3 linked regions of the Oreochromis niloticus genome follow. Each later gene encodes a partner of the first gene's protein in a complex. Links are inferred from orthologs where the notes say so. Each region holds a gene or a part of one and is shown on either strand. Other genes may lie near its edges.

Region 1 (7,659 bases):
GATGTTCTGTTGGACTGGACAGAGTCCTCTGAAGGGGACTAGGTGCTCATACAGTCACATCAGTACCTGGATCGTACATCAACAGCAGGAGAAACACCCACTTGTTCCATACACCTCAAATGGGAGCACGTTTCTGTCATGAACAACGATCTTCTATTGTGTCTTTATCATGAAATGATATCACTTTTGAGATTCTATGATTATTCTTGTTTCAGTCACTGTAGCATGAAAACTGCCCTAAAAGACTCAGGATGTCACAAACTGGCCGTAGTGACTTTACTGGATGCACGGCAGTAAGAATCAACATACCCACATATGCCTACAGCTGCATTCAATCCATTTTTCTTCATCTCTTGTTGCCCCTCCTTGTTTGTCATTGATGCATCCATTGACATGTCAAAGTTAAAAAGCATAATACATGGTGTATAATGCTTTCAGTACTTGAGTAGAAAAGCAATCTAAGGATTTTATGTCATCAGTATGGGACCTGGCATATGTGCTTGTAGGGCTGCTCAATTAATCGAATTTTAATCTAGATTACGATCTGGGCTTTCAACGATCATTAAAAATGACTGAGCCGATTATTAGCACCTCCCTCGTGCTTTACTCTCGCGCTGCTCCGTGTGGCAAATCGAGCGCACCTCTCTGCGTTTCGAACACCGTCACAACAATTAAGAGGACCCGAGGGAAGCTTGGAAAGCTCGGAAAGCTAAGCAGAAGTTATTTGGAGAGGAGAGGATAACGGCTGCTGAAGAAAGAATGCCGTTGGTTGAAAAGAGAGGTAAAACGACTTCAGTGGTGTGGAAACATTATGGGTTCGCGGAGTCAGACCTGGATCAAATATTGTGCAGTATTTTGAAGTTCACTAAACATAGATGTTTACATTTTGCATTTATTTTTTATATTGCAAACATTTGCACTGTAATCAGTATTTGCACACTATTTTATACTATTTTTTGACAATCTTTAAAGCCATTATTCAATACATTGTTATTGTTAAATAAATATCGTCAAATAATCGAGATTATCATTTTTGCCATAATCGAGCAGCCCTATGTGCTTGGACTATGGTAGATTGTCTTTCTCTGTGACGCATGAGAGAGTCATGCATCGTCTGTCACTGGGAAGGACAGAAGATCAACATTACTGCAAATATTGATATGTCTCAGCTGACTCCTCTTTCTTGCTTGATTCTTTGTCTTCATCATAATTGAAATAGAAGATGTGTAGTCCTCTGACACATCTTCTAGTTTCACATTCTGAAAATTCAAGAAACTTCAAGAAGCCCAGTCACTTTCTTTCCAAGCTCCTCACACTACCATGTCCTGGATGCCTGAGAACCTACTTGAACATAGTTCAGATTCTTCATCACTTTTCTTTCACTTCATACACTTCACTTCTGCAGGTAGGTGATGTGGGGTTTCTTCAGAGAAAGGGGAGCGTGTGATCTAAATATTGGCAATATTTTCTTTATCTTTTAACCCTGGATCCTCCTGATCGTTGATTCTTCCTCCTCATTATATTAGAGAACAAGATATGCATTGTTCTACTGGCCATTCCTTTCCACAAGAATATAAAGCACCTTGAGGCGACTGTTGTTGTGATTTAGCACTGTATAAATAAAACTGAATTGAATTGAATGTAGAGCACCTGCCTCCTCATTGTGCTGCCTGTTGTTGTTGTTGTTGTTGTTATGACCATTGCTTGACCCCACACATCAGTGATCCAAAATCAAAGATGTTTGCAAGCAGTATGGTGTGACAATATGGCCCTTCGCAACGCTTTGTATTTTGGGGTCGTTTTTGACCCCCGAGGACAACAGGTGTTTTAAAATCCAATAAAAACCCATAAATAAATCAAATATCATAATATGGACCACACCTGGCCATATGCGTAATTGGGTTTGTTTGTTTTTTTTAAATAAAGGCTAACAGATTTTTACTTTTGACCAGATTCGTTTAAAAGACTCCAGGGCGGGATTTAAATTAGGTTTCAGATCACTGCAACTTAATTTAAAAAAAACTTTGAAATTACTTTATCCTCAATTTTCAAATATGGACAGGATCACTCTGAGAAAGCAAAGGCTTTACTAAACTGTAGAGCTGTATTGAATCCCTTTGTGAAAACACAAAAACAGGCAGCAATGCTATGACTGTTGGAACATCCAGACCAGAACAAAAGTAAAAGCAACTTTATCCGGACTTTTAAATTCTGGGTTTAAGAGGGAGACTTTAGAACCCAGAACATGAAAGAGGTCATAGTGGAGATGCTACACCTCCACACTGAAAGGAGCCAGCCAACATGTCAGCTTCAACTTGGAGGATGCTCCAGGACAGTAAAGATGGAAAAAGGGATGATTTCCCTGCTGCCTTTCCTACATTTAGACCAGGTCCAGTTACAGACCTTCAGCATTAACCTTTGACAATCTGGATTGGATAACCTCTGTGAAAACTAAAGAGTCAGAGCAGTGAGTGGTTTGTTTTTTTTTTTTTGTTTGCAAAACTACTAAATAAAAATATTTTCTCACATTTAGACTTCGCTAAACAAGTTCAAGTTTCCAATAACTTCGCCTTTAATTGCAGATCCGGATTTAGCGTCGTTTTAAACCGCAGTGTTTTGTTCAAGCCGCTGCACCAATACTGTCAGTTTTCATATTACAGTGTAGTTATCCACCCACTATTACACCTGTATTATACAAAGTGTAAGCATTAGAGGAGACACAACACAACCGTCTCTGGAGTCCACTCACCGCTTCTCAAACGCTCTTGTTGTGACAGAAACAGCAGGCTGAGAGTTAGCCGACTGCTAACTCCAGCTACAGATGAGGCGTTAGCTTGAGTTGTAGCGCACAAGTCTCCGGTTCGGACACTTAGCGGACACGTGCATCCTGTCGTAGACACGAAAAACTATTTATCTGTCCTACAACTACCTCACACACACTCATACACTGTAAACTGTTTTGCTGTTTTAGCTTAACGCACGCTAAACTTCCAAACGGAAATACGTCAGGTTACACTAGGGAAGAAGAGCGGGGCTGCATCAGAGGCGCCGGCGCTCACTGCCCCCGTGTGGGCATGTAAAGAACAGCAACACCAGCTAGCAATAAAGCAAACCAAAACATCCAGTTCCGCAAACAGCACAGAAAATAACAGCGTGACATATAACCAGGAGAATAACTTTTACACTTAATAATTCTCTTCTTATTCTTCCACCTGCTCCATACTCTCCATACAGGTCACAATATCATCTGCAGAGTCCTGCCTGATCTCATATGTCAGCCTGTCTTTCCACTTTCATAAGAGATAAGATATATTTAATATATTCTACGACCAAAAATAATACAAAAAAGTAAACAGAGGAAAGTAGAACATGTTATCAGAAGTAGAATCTGTGTAGAAAATGGCGCTGAATACACCAGGCATAGGCTCACATACAGTACTGTCCTGTGTCTTATTAAGATCTTTTGGCTTGTGTGAAGAGCAGTGCTGCACTAGAATTTAACTGTTTTACAAAATGGAAAACACTGACAATAAGGACTTTTTACACAAGGTAAAATATATAACATTACTTAAATAGCTTAAAACAGCACAAGTTTTATCATCAGTATCTACATAGCATCTAAATTTACTTATTATGTGGCACTCTTCAAAAACACATAGGCTACATTATATTACCAGATCATTTTAGCTGATAATTATTTTTTATTTCACTCACCAGCCACTTTTTTAGGTGCACCTGTTCAACTACTTGTTAATGCAGAATTGGGAAATGTGATTTAAGTGATTTTGAATCTGGCATGGCTGTTAATGCCAGATCTGCTTGGATTTTCTCAACAACTGTGTATAGAATTTATTGAGAATTTTCCCAAAAAGAGAAAATATCCAGTGAGCAGCAGCTCTCTGCATGAAAATGTCTTAGAGGAGATTGGCCAGTCTGCTTTGAGCTGATAGGAGGGAAACAGAAACTCAAAAGTAACTAAACTAAGTTACAGCCAGACCAAAATTCTGTGTCAGAAGACCGGACAAACTTTGGACCAATATGAAAGCATGGATCCATCCTGCACTGAATGAACAGATCAGGCTGCTGGTGGTGCTGTTTTGGTGTGGGTGATAATTTTTTGTTACAATCTGTCCTCTTTAACACGAGAAAGGCAAATCGTTTAAACACCACAGCCTTCCTGAATATCTTCTGACAGCTGTTTCCAGCAGGAGAATCATCTTGTCATAAAGCTCAGCTCATCTCAAACTGAAATTTTGAACATAACATGAGTTCATTGTACTTAGATGGCTACGATTTACCAGTTTACATCCAACAGAGCAGCTGTGGGATGCAGTGGAGCAGGAGATGTGCATCATGCATATGCAGCTAAGAAATTCTGCAGACAAAAATCTCTGCTCCTTGAATCCATGTTATGATTTTTAGAGATAATTCACAACCAGAACTCAATTTCCCAATTCTTTTATTGTAAACACAAATCTTTAGGTTCTGGCTTTTAGTTGGTCAACAATTTTAAAGCTTTTTGTTTCTAATCACAATTAAACATGACAAAAACATGCGGCTTTTACACGTGGGACATGATAAGTCAGTATAAAGTTATATTAACTGTGCCATTGATCCACCCCAACTTCCTGCTATTATAATAGCAGTCTAACACACACAATATCACCACCACCCACAGACTGAATACTAAGACAGACAACACATTTAAACAAACAAACGTTCAAGTCACTTGTAACATGAAGTTATTTCAAACACATGAACAGATGACCAGCAACGATGTTAACGTTTGCCTTATAAAGTGCAATTGTGAGTTCATCTAACAGATGAAAATATGCATTTAAAAAACTTTCATTTATTAAAATGCAACGTTTTTTCATTGGGTCAAATTAATTATCATAAAGCCGGGATCACTCGACGGGGTTCAGACCGTTGAATGTTGAAGGGGTGTGATTCTGTAAAAGCGGATGTGGCCTGTGGAAAAAATACATGTGTATAAAGAGGAAGCAGCGCGCGCTCATGTATGGCTGGTTGTCAGTATGAAGAGAGCCACAGTCCCTCATCGGCCGTATTAACGACACCACCTCAGGTCAAAGTCCTCGGGATCATCCACAGCCCCCCCGCACTGCTTCTCACCTGTATCCGGGCGGAGATGAAGTGTCCACGGGTAGCCGTAGGGTCGCATGGCCCGCTGCTGCTGCTGCTGCTGCTGGTCGAAGGTGTTTGCGTGGACAGCTATAAACCAGTCATCATCGTGCATGGCATCTTTGATGGACCACAGCAGTTCCAAAACCTTTCAAGGTTCATAAAGAAGGTAGGACCGCGCACAGCGTGCGACATCTCTAAGCTGTAGAACAACAAGGCTCGAAAACAGCTCCAAATGCGTTAGAACCGCTTTATTTACCACAGGAATTAAAAGTAGGCCAAGTGTATTTCACATTATTTGTGCTTGTGGTCACGTCTTTACTTTGTAGCGCTTTTGTGCAAACTTGTTAATGATACGTGCACAAAGACTCATGGGCCTGTTAATGTTCGATATTAGATTCTAAATGCGGTCCTGCTGTGTCCACGGTTACGTTAGACTTTGGTTTTTCTGTGATGTGTTTCTGGTGGAAGTGTTTAGCTATTAACGGACCGCAGGACTCGGACTCACATAGTGATTAACGTCTCCAGGCCAAGTTCATGTTCAGAGTAGCTGTTCAAATTTAAAACCAGTTTTCCTGCGTTGTCTCTCAAACGGAACTAAACACTGCGTACAAGCATGTTTAGACATTTATTATAAAATAATGAAAATGTGTTATTTAAGAGGCTTGTCCTCATTTGCACACGCAGTGAAAACAAGTTTGTATCATTTTCTCGGTTGACTTTCAGTAACTTTGGGCCAACAAGTGTGCATATTTTTTAAGTAAGCCAACTTGATCAAATATTACAGTTCACAACAGTGATTTTATTTTTTACCATTTAAACCCATAAATAAACTGGTACTCACACAGAGCTTTCCTGTTCTGTTTGAGCACTAAAAACATTTTCAGGTGCTTTTAAACGAACTAACATTCACACTCACACTCTTATGGATGCTGGGATCGAGTCGCCAAGTAGTTGATAGAGAACAATGCTAAAGGGGGGTAAGTCTGATCACTAAGTACTAGTTATTAGTACTTAGTGATCAGACTTAAAGGCTTACTTCTTTGACTCACATTTCAACTTAAAAGACTTTGAAATGATTACTTTTTAAACTGGATTTGCTCTGACTGGAGGTGATTTTGAGTCAAGAGAATGAAGGGTCCACTGTTTATCCTCAGCAAAAGATAGATTGGGTCAAAACAAAACAAACCGAAATGCTTAAGCTGACCTGGCTGAACAGAATGATCCACAGCATCACATTTTGTCTCTAGATAATCTTTTAAAACAATATATTCTCTGGTGTGCAGGTTATCTTTAGCACGGGATGTTCTGACTGTATTCTGTCACCGTAGCAGGCAGATAATGTGCTTACATAAATCATTCTATGCTTGTTATTATTCATCCAAAACCATATAAATTACAGTTGTGCGCTCGATTGTTTGACCCTTTGTAAAGACCAATGAAAAGCCCGCAAAGAGTCTCTTGTAAGTGAGCAATAGGAAGGAATATCTCATTAGTCATGATATTATATCACACGTTCAGTCTGTTCAAGCTGCCTTAAAAGTAATAAATGATTTTATTGAGGCTTTACACAGTAAGAAACACTGTGCAGCCTTTTTCATTGACTTTTCTGAGGCTTTTAACACTGTAGATCATGTGCTATTAAAGCAAAAACTGTGAGTGGATCAAAAATGATCTTTCCAACAGAACTAAGTGTGTGAATGCCGAAGGCATCACCTCGTGCTTCCTTGATGTGGTTGAAGGTGTTCCCCAGGGATCAGTTCTGGGGCCGTTATTCACCTTATATGTTAATAATATGTTAACCCTTTCACACATAGTGGTCACTGCAGTGGACAGCTATCCAAAGGCTGGTTTCTTGTATTTGTGTCAGTGTTGATGGTATACTTGCACATAAAGCACTACATTGGACACTGATGTGTCACTCCATACCCTGCCAGCCACTGGTCCTTTAATGTTACTATAGATGTGTGAGGTGTTTCATTGTAATTATTGTTATTTAACCCTGTCATTCATTAATAAAGTACCTGAATCCACCAAATGTTCAACACTCAAATCAAGAGCTTCTATACTACTTTAGGTTGAAGGCAGAATTTTGTATTTCAAGTAGGAATAAAATACTTAAAATGATATTGGACTTGATAACATATCAGATAAAAACAATGAAGTGAAAATCAGTGAATGGTTTCAAGTTAGCGATTTCTGTTCCTTTGTGATTTTCATTTCCTCAGGATCAGTTTTAATTTCAGAGTTCTGCATTTGAGCACCTGTCTGAAGTTTTATGACAGCTGATGTTTCCCTCTCTGTGCCACTTCTTTGAATCAAAAGGGAAAATTTTTTACTTCCACTTCAATTTCTTTGCACTTCTCAGGTGCATCCAGGCACTGAGGTCACAGTGATTGACTTGTACGACGACCTGTTGAGTCTGCAGCCGCTGTGGAAGCAGGTCCCAGACTTCAGGCAGTCCTTCAACTCCATCATGAAAAATGCTCCTGATGGCGTCCATCTTCTGTGCTTTTC
Region 2 (7,857 bases), on another chromosome or scaffold:
ATCAAGTAAAAGCCTGTATGCACCTGGGGAGCTCGTGTCTAAGTTGACAGTAATGGAAACAAAGTCCTCTTTGATTTGTGATTCTGTCAGTCAACAAGTTAAATCTTTATTCAGTGTCTTCTTCACTGGGTGCACTCATAAATCAGGCCAGCTGACATTAAACATGCTACTGTGTCTTACATCGGTGCCTCAAGCTTAAACTGGGTCCTGTTCTCATGGTAACCATCTCTTCAGACCAAGCAGTTTTTCACACCAGCTGTCCAGAACTGCAGCCTGAATAATCTACTGTGCAATGTGCACACTAATGCACAGCCACATTTTCAAATGCAACATAATCATGTCTTAAAAGCACAACATGAAAAAACACTAAGTAAATACGCTTCTTCTTCAGGTACTTTATTCAAAACTATTCTGACATTCAAGATCATTTTTAGGCAAGAATAGTAACAAAATGCTTCAGTTCACATTTCCACACAAAAATACATCAACTGAATGAATACTGTCAGTTCCTGAACTCTTCTTTGGACAGTATCTAAAACATAACATGGATCACTAAACTCCAGTTACCAATGCATCTGACTGCATTAACTTTTTAAGATTTTGGTGTTTCTGAATTTCTTGTTTTGGCCGGATCATTTTTATTAATACTGTGAATCTCAACTATTGTTCGGTATATATTGGGGAAATCAACTTACTTACTCCACCTACTATTAATGGCATTTCTCACTCCAAACTCAACATTTTTGATTGATGAGGAATTATAATATACAATATATATATTTATAAATATAAAAAAAGGCTTTCAGCATATGTTTCACCCTCTGTAACTGTCTGAAAGCATCTGATTCTTCCATTTCTACCGCAGTAGTCTGTACATTATGAAATGTGACAGACTAGTAAAAGCCACATTTCTTACTTTGATCTGAGCCACGCTGCTTCGAATCTTTCTCAGTGCTGAATGATGTTCATCCTCATCACTGCTGCTGGTGCTGTCTGAACTGCTTGAGGATGGGCTCCTGGAGGGCCTGCGGCCCACAGGACTTGGCTGTGGGGACCGTCGCTCATTGGGGCTTCTTTCAACTGAGCCAGCCTGCTGGGGTCTGCCTGATGCTGGACTAGAGTCATTCTCTGAAGGTCCTGCAGAGAGAAAAATAGATCAAGAGCAGTATTAGTATATCCATTCAACATATCCTTCTTCTTCCACTTACTCAATTTAGGGATACTGTGGGGCAGAAGGCAGGGTAGACATCGAACAGGTCACCAGTCTCTCACAGGGCTAACCGGAGACTTATGCTTTGGACTATGACTATTCAATAGCTACGCCATAACCGCAAACTTTGCGAAACTTGTTAACCCATATGCCTGGTGGCCACGTAGGTGAAGGACAGTCAAACAACTAAACAAATAAAATGGACACCAGCTAACCACAAAAACGCTGTTTCTGTTACCATTCATACCGTGCACCCTACAGTGCAACCTAATTACATGTTGCACCAATAGATTCTTCTCATGCATTTCAGGCTACTTTTTCACAGCAGTTTTTGAATTTATCAGTGAGAGAATAACAATCATCATCTCAACATAACAGATAATAATTATAGCATCAATATAAGGACTCACAAATGTCAGCAAATTCCTGAGGAGAAACTGCCAAAACTATTAAAATGGACGTGTGGGAATGTACAAAGAAGATGAAAAACTTGAGACAAATATATTTGCCTTTAAAAAAAACTGACCACTACAAAACTGGAGGGAAAAGGTCCGTGCATTTTATTTGTTTCTATCAACTGGTACTGAATGAAAAACATGTACACAGACCCACACATTAATTTAGACATAATGCACCAGCACAAACACAACACGTAAATTATGTCGTTAGCTCTACAAAGATTCACCGCAGAAATCTAAATCAGGACTAACAGGTGAAAGCACACCAGAGTTCCCAGCAAGGGGTACAAAGAAAATATGCAGAAAGACCCGGCTGCTGGACTCAAACCCAGAACCTTCTTGCTGTGAGGTGACAGCTAACGATTGCAACATCGTATTGCTCAAGTATAACGGATGGAGATTAAAGCAACTCTTATTACAAGAACATTAAGTGTAGGGTTCACAGCAGCATTTACTCACCACTGTTTTCTCTCTGTGCAGGACTGGGACTTCGACTTCTGTCTGCAGAGTCCATACCTGGAAGGGGGGGGGGGGAAGACAACTAAGACATTCACTTTGATAGGTAAAATGCATTTCCACAAACCCCGTTACATTAGGAAAAAAGAAAAAAAAAAAACATGTAAATGAGTTAATAAGATTTAATAACTTTCTGACATGGTTCTCTGACACGATCCACGTATTTCTACGAAGGACTGTTTACAGACTTGTTGATTTGACATTAGTCTGCTCCGGATAAACTTTACATTAAATCACCAATACTCAATGCAGAGCAAAGGATACACTTACTGTTTATTAAGCGTTTTGTGAGTGATTAACGATAAAATAAGAGGGATGATGACTTCCTGGTAATGTTTAATCGCCGAACAGAGTCAAAAATTATCATTGCCAACGGACGGAAGAGGTAACAATATGGTAACTGGGCATTTCCTGAGGTAAATATTACCAAATGATCAAGTTTGTACGTCTTAATAGCCGAATAAACATATTTTGGGAAGGTTCTTGAAACAGCAACACCACGCGTTACTAAAACGTCTTTTCAAATCAACTCCTCAGTTTTATCGCCATGTGTGTTAAGCTGAGCTAAAGTTAGCTTGTGTGCTAATGCTGTCTCGGCTATTGCGATCTAAGCTTCTCGCTACTAATTGCTGTCACTAAAACCTTTAAGATTTTATTTCCTTCGTACTTTGACAGAAGGTCTGTCGAGCTAAATTGCTTTGTTTGGGTTTTAATGTCCTTACCATACAATTTCCCGGCTTTCCTTAAATCACTGTCGTTCGTCTGGCGGAAAACTTCCTATAATAACCAACATTACTTCCGGGTGACAGATCGCTTCCGGATTTCACAATAAACGCAGTTTGTGAAGTTTGGTTTACTGTTTTTGTTGTTATTTTTTCTTTTCCAGTTTAACTTTATTTCAGAATTTAATATTTATAAATAAAGTTGTAACACAAGAAAAAAAGTGTATAAAATAAAGTAAAACAAACACACAGGGCCTTGTGTACACATGAAATTTGTTCATTTATTGTTTCATTCTGGGTTTTTTTTATTTTCAAGGTCCTCAGTTGTGGTTTAAAAGGGAATATTGAGCTTCAAAACAAAGCTTTATTTATCTAAATAAATCTAAATATCTAAATAAATAAATAAATCTTAGTTTATTTACTTAATCACTCAAAGTTTAGAGTTGCATATGTGAAAATTTTCACTTAGCATCCTGAAGTTTTTACTTACTTCTGAGTGCCTTGAAGTTTTGGGATGCTGAGCAAGTGGGAATTTTCAAAATTTCCAGATACCATACACAAAATTTATTTGACTAATCAACCCAAAGGTTTGACTTTATATTTTAAAAACACTTTTTTTTTTTTTTAAATTTGTTTTTACATGAATACCTTATTTGTTAAATCTTTGAACATAGAGAGGCACAGAAAGACTTTCAGCTGTATGGGAGGACACATTAAATCACTGTTTAGTTTTTTAGAACAGTTATGGAAGAACATTCAGGAAAAATAATGTTGTCATATGGTTTACTATATCATAATACCAAGTGTGTAGTAATGTGAAGTTCTGTGAGTAAGCCCCATTTCCATTAGTAATACTTCTTTTTTTGTGTGTGTAGGTTTAAAGGTAGGAAAAGCACTGGCCAGTTATACTGAGAGCTTGAAAACAAGACAACTGTAAACAGTTGACTTTTTTCTTAGAATTCTGGAAAAGAAGAAAAAAAAAAAAGACCTGCGCACTTTTTTTCCCAGTGGCCCTAATCCTCTTCCGTACAATCCCATTAGCTTATTTTTAAAATATTTGAAGGAAGTTTATATTCCCCAGCACTGCAGGCCTTCAGACATCAAAACGATTTGAGCCTAAACGGAGGGATTAATAACACATAAAATACAACCCTGTTGGTGTATCCATCACTCCATTGCATACAGAGATGAAAGAGGCAAAAACATATAGTTTCTGCGTTATTTATAGCAGTGTGCTCGGGTTTAAAAGGCCCCCGACAATGACGTAGTCTTCACGGTACTTCAGCATCTAGCTAGCACTACTAAAGAGGAGCATAAAAGGAAGAACGTGTTGCGGCAGGTCAGTTCAAACGCAAAATTTCTAAAAGCTCAACACACAAACACACACTTGCTAATGGTAAAACTGGGAGAAAAGAGAAAAGAATAAGAGTTAAGTTCACTCAGAGATGGAGAACAATGTAAGGAAGAGAGGACAGGAAGAATACCAAAAGGCAAGTACTGCTCAGGGGTATTTGATAAACTGGAAATTTTAAATTTTGTTGTATTTATCCGCGACACCTTAAAGGCCGGTCCGTGAAAATATTGTCGGGCATAAACCGGTCCGTGGCGCAAAAAAGGTTGGGGACCGCTGCCTTGGACCACTGTGAGACATCAGACGTGTGCACTGTGGTCACGCCAGCATCTAATCCATCCAAGTTACATGGTTTATTAAAATAATCAAATTACAGCATTTACATTTATGTTAGACTACTTTTAATTAACTGCTTTAGCCCACTTACAATGAAAATTTAAAAAATCTTGTTCATGACCTGTGTAGTATGTTAACACTATTGGAAGTAAAAATAACTTGAACTCCAATTTTGAAAACACAACTTTCTTTCTTTTCTTTTTTTTCATAAAGCTCTGACTTGTATTATGAGTCTGTGGTCTGGGAGAGAGTCCTATAACTCTCTGTCTGCAAAATACAGTATATAATGACCAATGTTGGGCAATTAATTATATAGTTACTACTTCAAAAAAGTAACTCGGTTTGGCAAACAACAAAGTTTTTTGCAGCTATTTATTTTTTTTAATGCAGCCAAGGCGTTTTTTTAAATAAACATTTCAAACTATTTACAGAACAATCAGCTGTTCTGCATCAAATCTGATGCCACACAAATTATTTGCGCCACTCCAAAAAATAATTTCTGTCCAATATGAGATAAAGGAGAACAACAGCCTGATACCTGCAGGCCTGACAACAGGAGCTGTATCACTGCTGTAACACCTGTAACATTCAGCAGTCGCCTCATTGTTCTGACACACACAACAAAACTATTGACTACACTACACACTGACTACACACTAACTACACAAGATTTGCGCTAAACGTCTCAAATCTCTCACATCTCAGAACACCGCCGTCACTCCTAAAACTCCCCCCGTTTCTTAACAACTAGATGCCACGTTGGCAAATCATTTTTTGATTGGTCGACATGGTACATTTTTTGACCAATAGGAAAGGGTGGGGGGTTTTTTGGTTTTGTTTTTGCTCACAGGCGGAGAGTGCTTTCGAGCGTTTTCCTTATAAAACGCCGTTTTTACCATTTCTTCCCGCAGTAAATATAAACAACGATAGTATTCAGGAAGAAAACCAAACATTGCAGATATTTTTATCATAACTCTGGTTTTACGTGGCCTATCAACACAATTTAAAAACTGGTATAAAGTCCGTCAATTGTTCCGTCTGTCCTGCTCACATCTCCAATGGTTGTACACGTTGTCATTAATGTGGCTTCTCTGCACATCAGCCACGCCGCTTTGCTAGCTAAAACACCGGTGTCGGCACATAAGGACGCTGTCATAGCCTGTCAACAACGTTGATTGGCTGCGTATATACGAATGTGAATCGCATTATTGGCTGGACTATAGGATAAGGTGGCATCGTTCTAATCCCATACAGGAGCAGCCAGTCACTTACTGACTAACACTGCAAAACAGAATTGTTAAAGTTTTAATTTTAATTTCAATTCAGGTTAGATTTTTTTTGTGCGCAACGCAGATTTTCTGTGCGCAGAGACCGTGCCAGCAGTGCGCAATTGCGCACGTGCGCAGCTTAGAGGGAACATTGGTTTCCACACCACTGGAGTCGTTTTACCTCTCTTTTCAACCAACGGCATTCTTTCTTCAGCAGCCATTATCCTCTCCTCTCCAAATAACTTCTGCTTAGCTTTCCGAGCTTCCCTCGGGTCCTCTTAATTGTTGTGACGCGTGTTCGAAACGCAGAGAGGTGCGCTCGATTTGCCACACGGAGCAGCGCGAGAGTAAAGCACGAGGGAGGTGCTAATAATCGGCTCAGTCATTTTTAATGATCGTTGAAAACCCAGATCGTAATCGAGATTAAAATTCGATTAACTGAGCAGCCCTAATGCTTCTTTTCTTCCTGCTGTTTTTATACAACCATATAAACTGGCGACACAACAGAAGCTCGATTCCAGATGTGCTTATAGCGATGGTGGTATAGTGGTAAGCATAGCTGCCTTCCAAGCAGTTGACCCGGGTTCGATTCCCGGCCATCGCAGCTTCGTTTTGTGACAGAGCAGTTAGGGAGGAAAAGAAACCTATTTTATATCAGAAAGAAGATGATATATAGTATTCAATAAATGGGTATTTAAAGTAAAAACAATTTATTGTAAAAAGATTTTATTGATTTTCTTTTACTTTACTAGAAGTTGAATCAGTACTTTTTAAACAAAACTATTTGTACTTCTACTTAAGTAAATCCTCTCAATATCACCATATGCTGTGTTTCCTCCTTTGAGAAGCTCTGCTCAGCCTTTACTGGAGTCTCCTCCAATTGTTTCTTATTTGTGGGTCTTTATGCATTTAGTTTTGTATTTAATAACTAAATAGCACACTCTGCTGGGCTGAGATCAGGTGACTGACTTGACCATTGAAGAATAAGGTGGAAAAAGGGTGTTTCACAAAGTGTGCAGAAACCTGATGATCTGTGAGTAATACTTCTTACTGGCCAGTAATATTGAGAGCTTAAAAAGAAGGCAATTTGACTTCTTTAGATATTTTCAGGATGTTTCACTTATCATCCAAGAGGCTTTGTCATTCATAGAACAACTGGTGCAGAGTCCCAGGTGACATGCACCACTAGGGAGGGCTGTTCCCTTGGAGAAGTCATAACCCACAAAGATGGTCGATCATAGTGGACATACATGGCCTCATTTACTGTTCTCTTAAACCAATTGTCTTTGTCCAAAATGTGAACACTGGCATCCTGGGAAGCGTGTCCTTTCTTAGGTATTGCAGGTGTGCCACTGAGTCTTGTCCTCCCGTGTTGCATTTGTGGACTGGCTTGCAGCATCCACTGTTTAAGTCTCTTCACATTTAAGTGACATACAGCTCACATGATGGTGGGGTGGGGCAAGGTCTCACAGAGGTTTCAGTTGTCGGCCAGGTGATGGGAATGACTCATGTTTTCACACCTTTGCTCATGTGACAACTCACATGATCAATAGTAGGTTAACATCCCTAGGAAGTACATCAATTTTTATACACAGCACCCATTTTCAGTCTCAAATTAAACAGACTAACATCATTTTAGATGATGTTATGTTTAGGAATCCTTTGCAGTCAATGACTACTTGAAGTCAAGAACCCTTGGACATCAGAGGTGGGAAGTAACGAAATACAAATACTTAGTTACTGTACTTAAGTAGAATTTTCAGGTACCTACACTTTGAGTTTTTATTTTTCTGATAACTTATAACTTTTACTCCTTAAATTTTAACATGGATATCTGTACTTTTTACTCCTTTCATTTTCAAAGCAGGCCTGTTACCTTATGTTTAACATATTTGAGGGAAGTTTAAATTCCCCAGCACTGCAGGCCTGAAGACATCAAAGCGATTTGAGCCTAAACGCCTGGTCGCAGCTTGTACACAAAGAAAATCTCCCGAAG
Region 3 (8,078 bases), on another chromosome or scaffold:
CTTGATTCAAAACAAGGAGGCTTTCTTCAGTCAAGACCCCACGTGAAAGACCAACCTGCAGCCAGCGGATCATCGGGCGAATTGCATCGATTTCTTCATGTTGCTCCAGTAAAAGAAGCAGCTGAGGGATTGGTACCCCTACAACAATAAATAAAGAAATAATTTATTGTTATCATTCATATGATGCCAAAACTGTCCACAAATTCCAATTTGTGCAACTACACAGGGAACATACAAACAGACATATATTAAAATTATTATAGTGTAATTGCTCCTTCAATTTAAAAAAAGGCTTTAGTCGATGAGCAGCAGCTAATAAATGTCACTATTTCAATGTTTTCCTCAGCCCTCACTGTAGTAATGCACTATTAAACTAATTAATTAGGATTGTTATAATTATATATAATATGTAATGCAAAGTCTAAATAATCCACTTTGCAAAGCAACTCTTTGCAAAGTGGATTAAAAGAGAAATATGTGTATTCCCAGTGAACCAGGAAATACACTGTACCACACGGAGGTTTTCAGGGGTCACAGACCAGACTCTGGGCTTGTGTGACTGAGGCCTTAAAACTTTGGAAATTGTTATGTGTAATAACAAACTGTCAGATAATCCATCTGAAAACTGAAAAGAGAAATCACGCTCTTACTTCGAATGGGGTCGTTATGCTGTCCGTCTCCACTCTCCATTTGATCCATGAAAACAGTCTGGAGGAAACTACAGTTGTCAAACTTTTAAGCTGACTGGTTTAAAACTTTCAGACTGTCCAAAGTCCTTTAAAATTGTTTGAAAACTTTTTAACAAGCTTTTTAAAAACACGATGTAAATGTAGAGTAAGCCAAGTGAATGCTGCGAGGAACGCTGCGAAGTGTTAACTGATATTTCTCCACCAATTACATCCAAATATAATGATGCAGAGATGAACGTCATAGGTTTACTTGCTACTTTTGCGTTCTGACTCTCCTGTGACGTCATCGAATGACGCCGCTGAACGTCCTGCAGGTAAACAAAACTGTCAGTGGTGACTACGGAACTTTTACAGGTGAAGCATTTTCCACAAAGCTTTGAAGGAATTACAGTGACAGATAGAGGCCACAAGATGGCGCCATTTTTCAGGTAGTGGATACCATTTGTTGGCTTTTTGGTTTATGTTCACACCACCCCATGAGTGTTTTGCATAAAGTTTAAAGTATTCCTCGGGTTCGTGATTTTTTCCCCTTTCTTGCTGTATTAAAATAAATTAATTCAAGTAAACTAGAGTGAGTCTTCCATCAGTAATTAATTATTGAAAACACTTTTCTACCTGAAGTGTATTTTTGCTGCTTTACATGTTTGCTGAACTGCTCCATGGCTTAAAAACCTTTTGATTAGTTAGACGCAGACTCTGTTGTTCATATAAAATCTATACTTTATATTTTCCATTTGGCTTTCCTGGATTGAAAAGTTTGAAAATAAAAGCATTCAACAGTCTGAGTGTCAAAATGTGCTGTGTAATGTATTTATACATATTTTGATGGTAGGAAAACAGGATAAAATGACTGTGTTTGGGCCTTGAGGTTAAATTTAATCTAAAAATGAACTTGTAGAAGTCGGAAAAAGATACAAGCTTGAGTGCAATACTCTGGTAGAGCTTCGTAAAGGGGGTATTTACACCCAACATCTTGGATGGTATCTACAGAATATATTTTAGTATATCTTTTGGGAACTTGGTTTTGTCTTGGAATAAGTAGTTGATCATAGATATCAATGACATACAGTTGTTGCAAAATGAAACACTCTCTGAACCTGCAGTTTGGTTCTTCCAAAAATGTAACAAAATAAAACAAGGACACAACCCTATTTAACACAGTGACCAACACAGCACTTGGTCACACACTGGCTGAGTTGCAGTGTGTGGCCAACCTGGTGACCAGCATGAGGTTGAAATGCCAGGCTGTTGTGGCTGCGTATTGTTCTTCCACATGTTAGTGACGCCCCTATTTGTTAAAAGAATAAAATATTAAATTGTGGATGTGGCTTGTTTTTTCAGAATTCAATAAATGACACCCAACAAGTGTCAATAGCAAAATAAACTGTTTGCTATTGGCAAATTTTTCATGGCCGCAACCAATGTTCCCTCTAAGCTGCGCACGTGCGCAATTGCGCACTGTTGGCACGGTCTCTGCGCAGAGAAAATCTGCGTTGCGCACACAAAAAAAATTCTAACCTGAATTGAAATTAAAGTAAATATGTGCCGACACCGGTGTTTTAGCTAGCAAAGCGTGGCTGATGTGGAGTTAAGCCACGTTAATGACAACGTGTACAACCATTGGAGATGTGAGCAGGACAGACGGAACAATTGACGGAAAAAGTGTGGACTTTATACCAGTTTTTAAATTGTGTTGATAGGCCACGTAAAACCAGAGTTATGATAAAAAAAAAAAAAAATGCAATGTTTGGTTTTCTTCCTGAATACTATCGTTGTTTATATTTACTGCGGGAAGAAACGGTAAAAACGGCGTTTTCTAAGGAAAACGCTCGAAAGCACTCTCCGCCTGTGAGCAAAGACGAAACCAAAACACCCCACACCCTTTCCCATTGGTCGCAAAATGTACCATGTCGACCAATCAAAACATGGCATTTAGTTGTTAAGAAACGGGGGGAAGTTTTAGGAGTGACGGCGGTGTTTTGAGATGTGAGAGATTTGAGACGTTTAGCGCAAATCTTGTGTAGTTAGTGTGTAGTTAGTGTGTAGTGTAGTCAATAGTTTTGTTGTGTGTGTCAGAACAATGAGGCGACTGCTGAATGTTACAGGTGTTACAGGAGTGATACATCTCCTGTTGTCAGGCCTGCAGGTATCAGGCTGTTTTTCTCCTTTATCTGATAGTGGACAGAAATTAATTTTTGGAGTGGCACAAATAATTTGTGTGGCATCAGATTTGATACAGAACACCTGATTGTTCTATAAGTATTTTGAAATGTTTGTTTTAAAAACCGCCTTGGCAGCATTTTTAGGTAAACAGCTGCAAAAAAACTTGTTTGCAAAACTCAGTTGCTTTTTTGAAGAAGTAACTATATAATTATTTGCCCAACATTGGTCATTATATACTGTATTTTGCAGACAGGACTCTCTCACGGACCACAGACTCATAATACAAGTCAGAGTTTTTTTTTTTTTTTTTTAAAAAGAAAGAAAGAAAGAAAGTTGTGTTTTCAAAATTGGAGTTCAAGTTATTTTTACTTCCAATAGTGTTAATATACTACACAGGTCATGAACAAGATTTTTTTTTTTTAAACTTTCATTGTAACTGGTCTAAAGCAGTTAATTAAAAGTAGTCTAACAGAAATGTAAATGCTGTAATTTTATTTTTATTTTTTTTATTTTAATTTTAATAAACCATGTAACTTGGATGGATTCAATGCTGGCGTGACCACAGTGCACACATCTAATGTCGCTCACAGTGATCCAAGGGATCGCTCAGGGAGTTTGTGTGTTCGCTCAGACACATGAAAAATTAGAGGGAACATTGGCCACAACCCACATACTCAACTCTCGTGCTCAACCCACATTTTCCTTACAAATTTGACACCACCAGTGTTTGGAAAAATGTACTTCTAAAAGTACTTTTATTGCACCGTGTTCATTCACTCATGAGTTGCTGTAACATGAATAAACAGTACCCTTGCACAATGACCAAAACTAACTGTTCTGGATGTGGTGTTTAGAGTTGCCTACCAGCGGGTTGAGGATCGAAGCCAGAAGCTTTAAGGTGTTATAGGTGACCGAGTTGATTATACAGACAATTGGTCCTAAAGGTACACCATATAGACTGTCCCTGGGTATAGCCTGTGGTATGAGGTCCGGTCAATAGCATTGGCTTTTTCTAACTGCTTCAGACAATCTATCACCCTCTTCCTGTTACCACTTCCTGGGCTTGTTTCAGGGGCTCATAAGTATTTCTGTCACTGAGCAGTGACAGTCATAAATGGTTAATGATCAAGAAACTACATCACAGCCCACTGTTTGCCAGTGATGCTAGTTTTAGTAATTCTGCAAAGGTACGGTTTTTAAGATTGGGGAAACCTGCAGTCAGTTGAGACTGAAGAAGTCACTTGGATGAGTGATGAAATGTTTCTAACACTGAAAACGTTACATCCAAATGAAGAGAATCCACTTTTTGGGATTCCATTACCTGGATGACTGAGCATGCATCAAGACAAAAGATCAGCAGCTTAGTAACTTAATCTATAATCTATAATGCTGCACTGTGTGTTTATCACTCTCATGACAGAGGTATTTGTAAGAGGTATTGTCTTTTATGTTGAGGCCATGGCATGACTCTGGCATGTTGTTTTTCATGATGAGTGACAGTGTATCTGATGTCCTTGTGTTGGTGTTGCATCTGTATAATAATGCTGGTAACAATAACAATAACAATAACAATAACAATAACAAGAAAAAAAACAGAATATAGAAGAAGGATATAGAAGAATATAGAAGAAGGTATAGAAAAGTAGGTATAAATACTTTAGCAGCAAAAGGGCATGATGACCAGCATTGATAATGTGACGGTGTCAGTAAGTGTCAGTAAACCTGGACCAATATTATTTTGATGACGTAGAAACAATGCCAACACATGACTGACAATTTTTTGGTGATAGTTTAACTTCCTCTTACTGATATCAATTAAAACTATTGGTGTTCTCTTATTTCATTCTCACTTTTGCACCTCAGCAAAAAATGTGGTTTATCACAGTTAACCCAATTTCAGTAAATTAATTAATGATTTAACAACAGGGCAATTACTGTTTTACACAGGGACAGGTAAGTTTGAACAGGTTTATTTCCCCCTTCACATAAATACTTTCACAGCACTGCACCTGGAGTGAAATTGGAGTTAACAATGGTAAATTCCTCAAAACCCTTTCATGATTTATTTGTATTAATTTATTTGTATTATTTTATTTGCTAACTATAGTTTACACTTTACAATTTAGGCATGCTTGCTTGCCTGCCTGCCTCAATCTCAGCCTACCCCTTGCATCCGCTATCCGAACTGGCATTCTTGAACCTCAGCGCCACCCGTAGTTTCCGACAACATAATGATGGCTGCTTCCACAGGCAGTAAGAACGGACAGGAACTCTCTAAGGCTGAGTACCTAAAACGTTATTTATCAGCCGACGATGATTCCCTGAAATCTAAAGGAAAGGCAAAAAAGAAGCGTCGCAAGGTTCCCGAGAAGGGGTGAGCCGCTGGCGACGTTTTAGTCGATTTTTGCTGCAGATTTAGCTGTGGAGCCGTTAAGCTAGTTAACGACTCTGGTGTTGTGCAGCGCTGTTTTCCTCACTGCCTAATGTAATAACTTACTCGTGTTTACTTCTTTGATTCAAGACTTAAAATAGTGGACGATGACATAGATTGGAAACAGATGGTCACACAGCAGACGGAGATTGAGGAAGAGGATGAAGAAGAAGCTCCAGTGGTAAGATGACGTTAGCTAGCTACCTGGCTAACCTGTCCATTCATTCAGTTGAAATGATTACGGATTAAACATATGCTATATGCGCTCCTGTATAGGAGGGTTTCTTTTAAACAATAAACATGCGCCTGATGATTTGGGACACTACTTAATGCTGAAATTTAATCTATTGTATTAAATGGGTATGCTTGTAGTTTGGATCATTTTTGTTATGTCACCAAGTTCTGTTTTAAAACTTAATCTTTTGTTAACTGTTCAGATTGCTGAGGTGATTGATGATCGACCCGAGGAAGTGAAACAGATGGAAGTTTTTAGGACCAGCAACAGATGGAAAGTAATTGGAGGTAAATAAGAAGTCACAGAAGTAGGGGGGATTTGTGCAATATTAAGTTAAGAATGTTGTTTACTATACTTTTACTTCCTCTCCTAAAAGTGGATCAAAATGACGACACAGAGGAAGGAAATGGAAAAGAACATCAAAATACAGAGGCTGGGTCATTAAGCAGAGGTCGACATGACTCACCAGAGTTGTCTTCAAAGAGAAGAGGACGGGATTCTCCTGTCAAAAAGACCCGGCATGACTCTCCAGATGTCTCGCCTCCAAGGAGACGTCGGCATGACTCTCCAGACATCTCTCCTCCAAGGAAAAGTCGGAAGGACTCTCCGGATGTCTCTCCTCCAAGGAGACATCGGCATGACTCTCCAGACATCTCTCCTCCAAGGAGACGTCGGCATGACTCTCCAGACATCTCTCCTCCAAGGAAAAGTCGGAAGGACTCTCCGGATGTCTCTCCTCCCAGGAGAAGACGTCACGACTCTCCGGATGTCTCTCTTCCCAGGAGAAGACGTCATGACTCTCCAGATGTCTCTCCTCCCAGGAGAAGACGTCACGACTCTCCGGATGTCTCTCCTCCCAGGAGAAGACGTCATGACTCCCCAGACTTGTCACCACCGAGACAATGTTCAGAAAAGTCAGAAAAATTGCAAAGTAAAGGTGAGTGATCCAATTAAATTGTAAATTGGAATCTGGTGTGGCATATGAATAAAAGTAAAAAGCAAAGGCCCATTTAACATGAGTTTTGTATGGAAATTTCTTTTTAAGGCATACCTTGATCTAATAATAAATCTTTAATTTTTGTTCAAAAGTCATTACAAAATGAAAATTAACAAATTAACTGTGTCTTTGTCAGATTCAGCCTCCAGCAAAAGCAAGCTCAGCTCATCCTTGTTAAGTAAAAAACGCTCACCGGATCCTCATCGGTCAGCGGTGGCTAAGAAGGGTCAGAATAGACATGATTCAGACTCGGATCCGTCTCCCCCGAGGAAAAGGCCCCTAAAGGGAAATGCCTCTGACTCCGACCAATCTCCTCCAAGAAGGCCCTCAAAAACTAAACGGGGCTCAGACTCTGACCAGTCTCCACCCAGGGTGCGGCCACCGAGTGGAAGGGACTCGGATGGAGATTTGTCACCTCCTCGTAGGCCAGGCCAGTCACAGGTAAGCAGACTGTGTTGGAACAAAGAGTAATGTAAAATCTGATTTCGCTCAGATTTCTTTCTTTTTTTTCATTGTCTTTTTATTTTATAACCAGGGCCAAAGGATGCTATCTGGTGGAAAGGCAGGCCTGGTTTCTGTGGACATTTTAAGGAAAGAGCAAGAGGAGAACAGACGTAGAGAGAAACACAATCAGCCACTTGAAGGTTTCCTCAACTTTTCTCTCTTAAGATTTTTTTACACCCATTGATGGAAGAGTTTCATACAGCTTTGCGTCTCATTTCAGCTTATCATTTATATTGTCGTATTTTATTTAGTTCTAAAATTAAATAATGTCGTTTCTACATACTTACCCATTCATCCCCTATGACCAGATGAATCACGTAATGCTCAGACGATTTTCAGAGACAAAAGTGGCAAAAGGAGGGATCTGGATTCAGAGAGAGATGAACAGAAGAAGAAAGCTGGAGAAAAAGCGGCAAGAGACGAGAAATACGCTCAGTGGGGAAAAGGGTAAATGTGCATGATCATTTCAAATATCACAGTTTATGAGATTGTATCCACATAAAAGATTATAAAAGCATCATGTGGTTCAATGGTTTATGTTAAAATGTATGTATAGGTTGGCACAGAGCCAGATGCATCAGCAGAAACTTGAGGACGCGCTGCACGAAGCCCAGAAGCCACTGGCACGTCACCGTGACGATGAGGATCTTGACCGCATGTTGAGAGAACAGGAAAGAGAAGGCGATCCTATGGCTGCAATGCTCAGGCGTAAAAAGGACCGTGGCACAAAAACACAAGGTGTTTAACATTACATATGTTTTATTTTATTTCACCAGGTCAATCCTTGTAAGAAGTTTTTAAATAACAGCAGTCTTGTTTTTGCTACTGTTTGTATTTTTATTTATTTGTATGTTTTGTTTTGATTTTTTGTAGATAAACCTCAATATAAAGGCCCTGCTCCACCTCCAAACCGGTTCAATATTCCACCGGGGTACCGCTGGGACGGAGTTGACAGGTAGAGTTTGTACATCAGTGACAGAGGAAAACTGTTGAGGACAGATTTGTAGTTTAATATTGAATGTTTTTAATACACACATCACTTTGTCATTTTGCAATTGT

The links.
Region 2: dhx16 (region 1) and cwc22 share a complex: the UniProt entries of both Homo sapiens proteins name them as parts of the minor spliceosome. The link is inferred for Oreochromis niloticus from reciprocal best matches to the Homo sapiens genes DHX16 and CWC22.
Region 3: dhx16 (region 1) and bud13 share a complex: the UniProt entries of both Homo sapiens proteins name them as parts of the minor spliceosome. The link is inferred for Oreochromis niloticus from reciprocal best matches to the Homo sapiens genes DHX16 and BUD13.

Annotation. Positions count from the first base shown.
Region 1 is NC_031976.2:36,413,841-36,421,499, forward strand, and holds the start of dhx16 (pre-mRNA-splicing factor ATP-dependent RNA helicase DHX16), read right to left. Parts: upstream 3,027-7,659; 5' UTR 2,750-3,026; intron 1-2,749. Other genes in the region: lysosomal thioesterase PPT2, read left to right, coding at 5,021-5,311, 7,511-7,659. UniProt on the Homo sapiens protein: Required for pre-mRNA splicing as a component of the spliceosome. Contributes to pre-mRNA splicing after spliceosome formation and prior to the first transesterification reaction.
Region 2 is NC_031987.2:24,052,898-24,060,754, reverse strand, and holds the start of cwc22 (pre-mRNA-splicing factor CWC22 homolog), read right to left. Parts: upstream 3,001-7,857; 5' UTR 2,907-3,000; intron 2,185-2,906; 5' UTR 2,183-2,184; coding exon 2,128-2,182; intron 1,138-2,127; coding exon 917-1,137; intron 1-916. UniProt on the Homo sapiens protein: Required for pre-mRNA splicing as component of the spliceosome. As a component of the minor spliceosome, involved in the splicing of U12-type introns in pre-mRNAs. Promotes exon-junction complex (EJC) assembly.
Region 3 is NC_031975.2:13,772,293-13,780,370, forward strand, and holds the start of bud13 (BUD13 homolog), read left to right. Parts: upstream 1-5,043; 5' UTR 5,044-5,083; coding exon 5,084-5,226; intron 5,227-5,373; coding exon 5,374-5,464; intron 5,465-5,720; coding exon 5,721-5,805; intron 5,806-5,894; coding exon 5,895-6,455; intron 6,456-6,651; coding exon 6,652-6,956; intron 6,957-7,050; coding exon 7,051-7,159; intron 7,160-7,327; coding exon 7,328-7,466; intron 7,467-7,575; coding exon 7,576-7,757; intron 7,758-7,892; coding exon 7,893-7,974; intron 7,975-8,078. Other genes in the region: ribosomal L1 domain-containing protein CG13096, read right to left, coding at 1-138, 651-699. UniProt on the Homo sapiens protein: Involved in pre-mRNA splicing as component of the activated spliceosome. As a component of the minor spliceosome, involved in the splicing of U12-type introns in pre-mRNAs.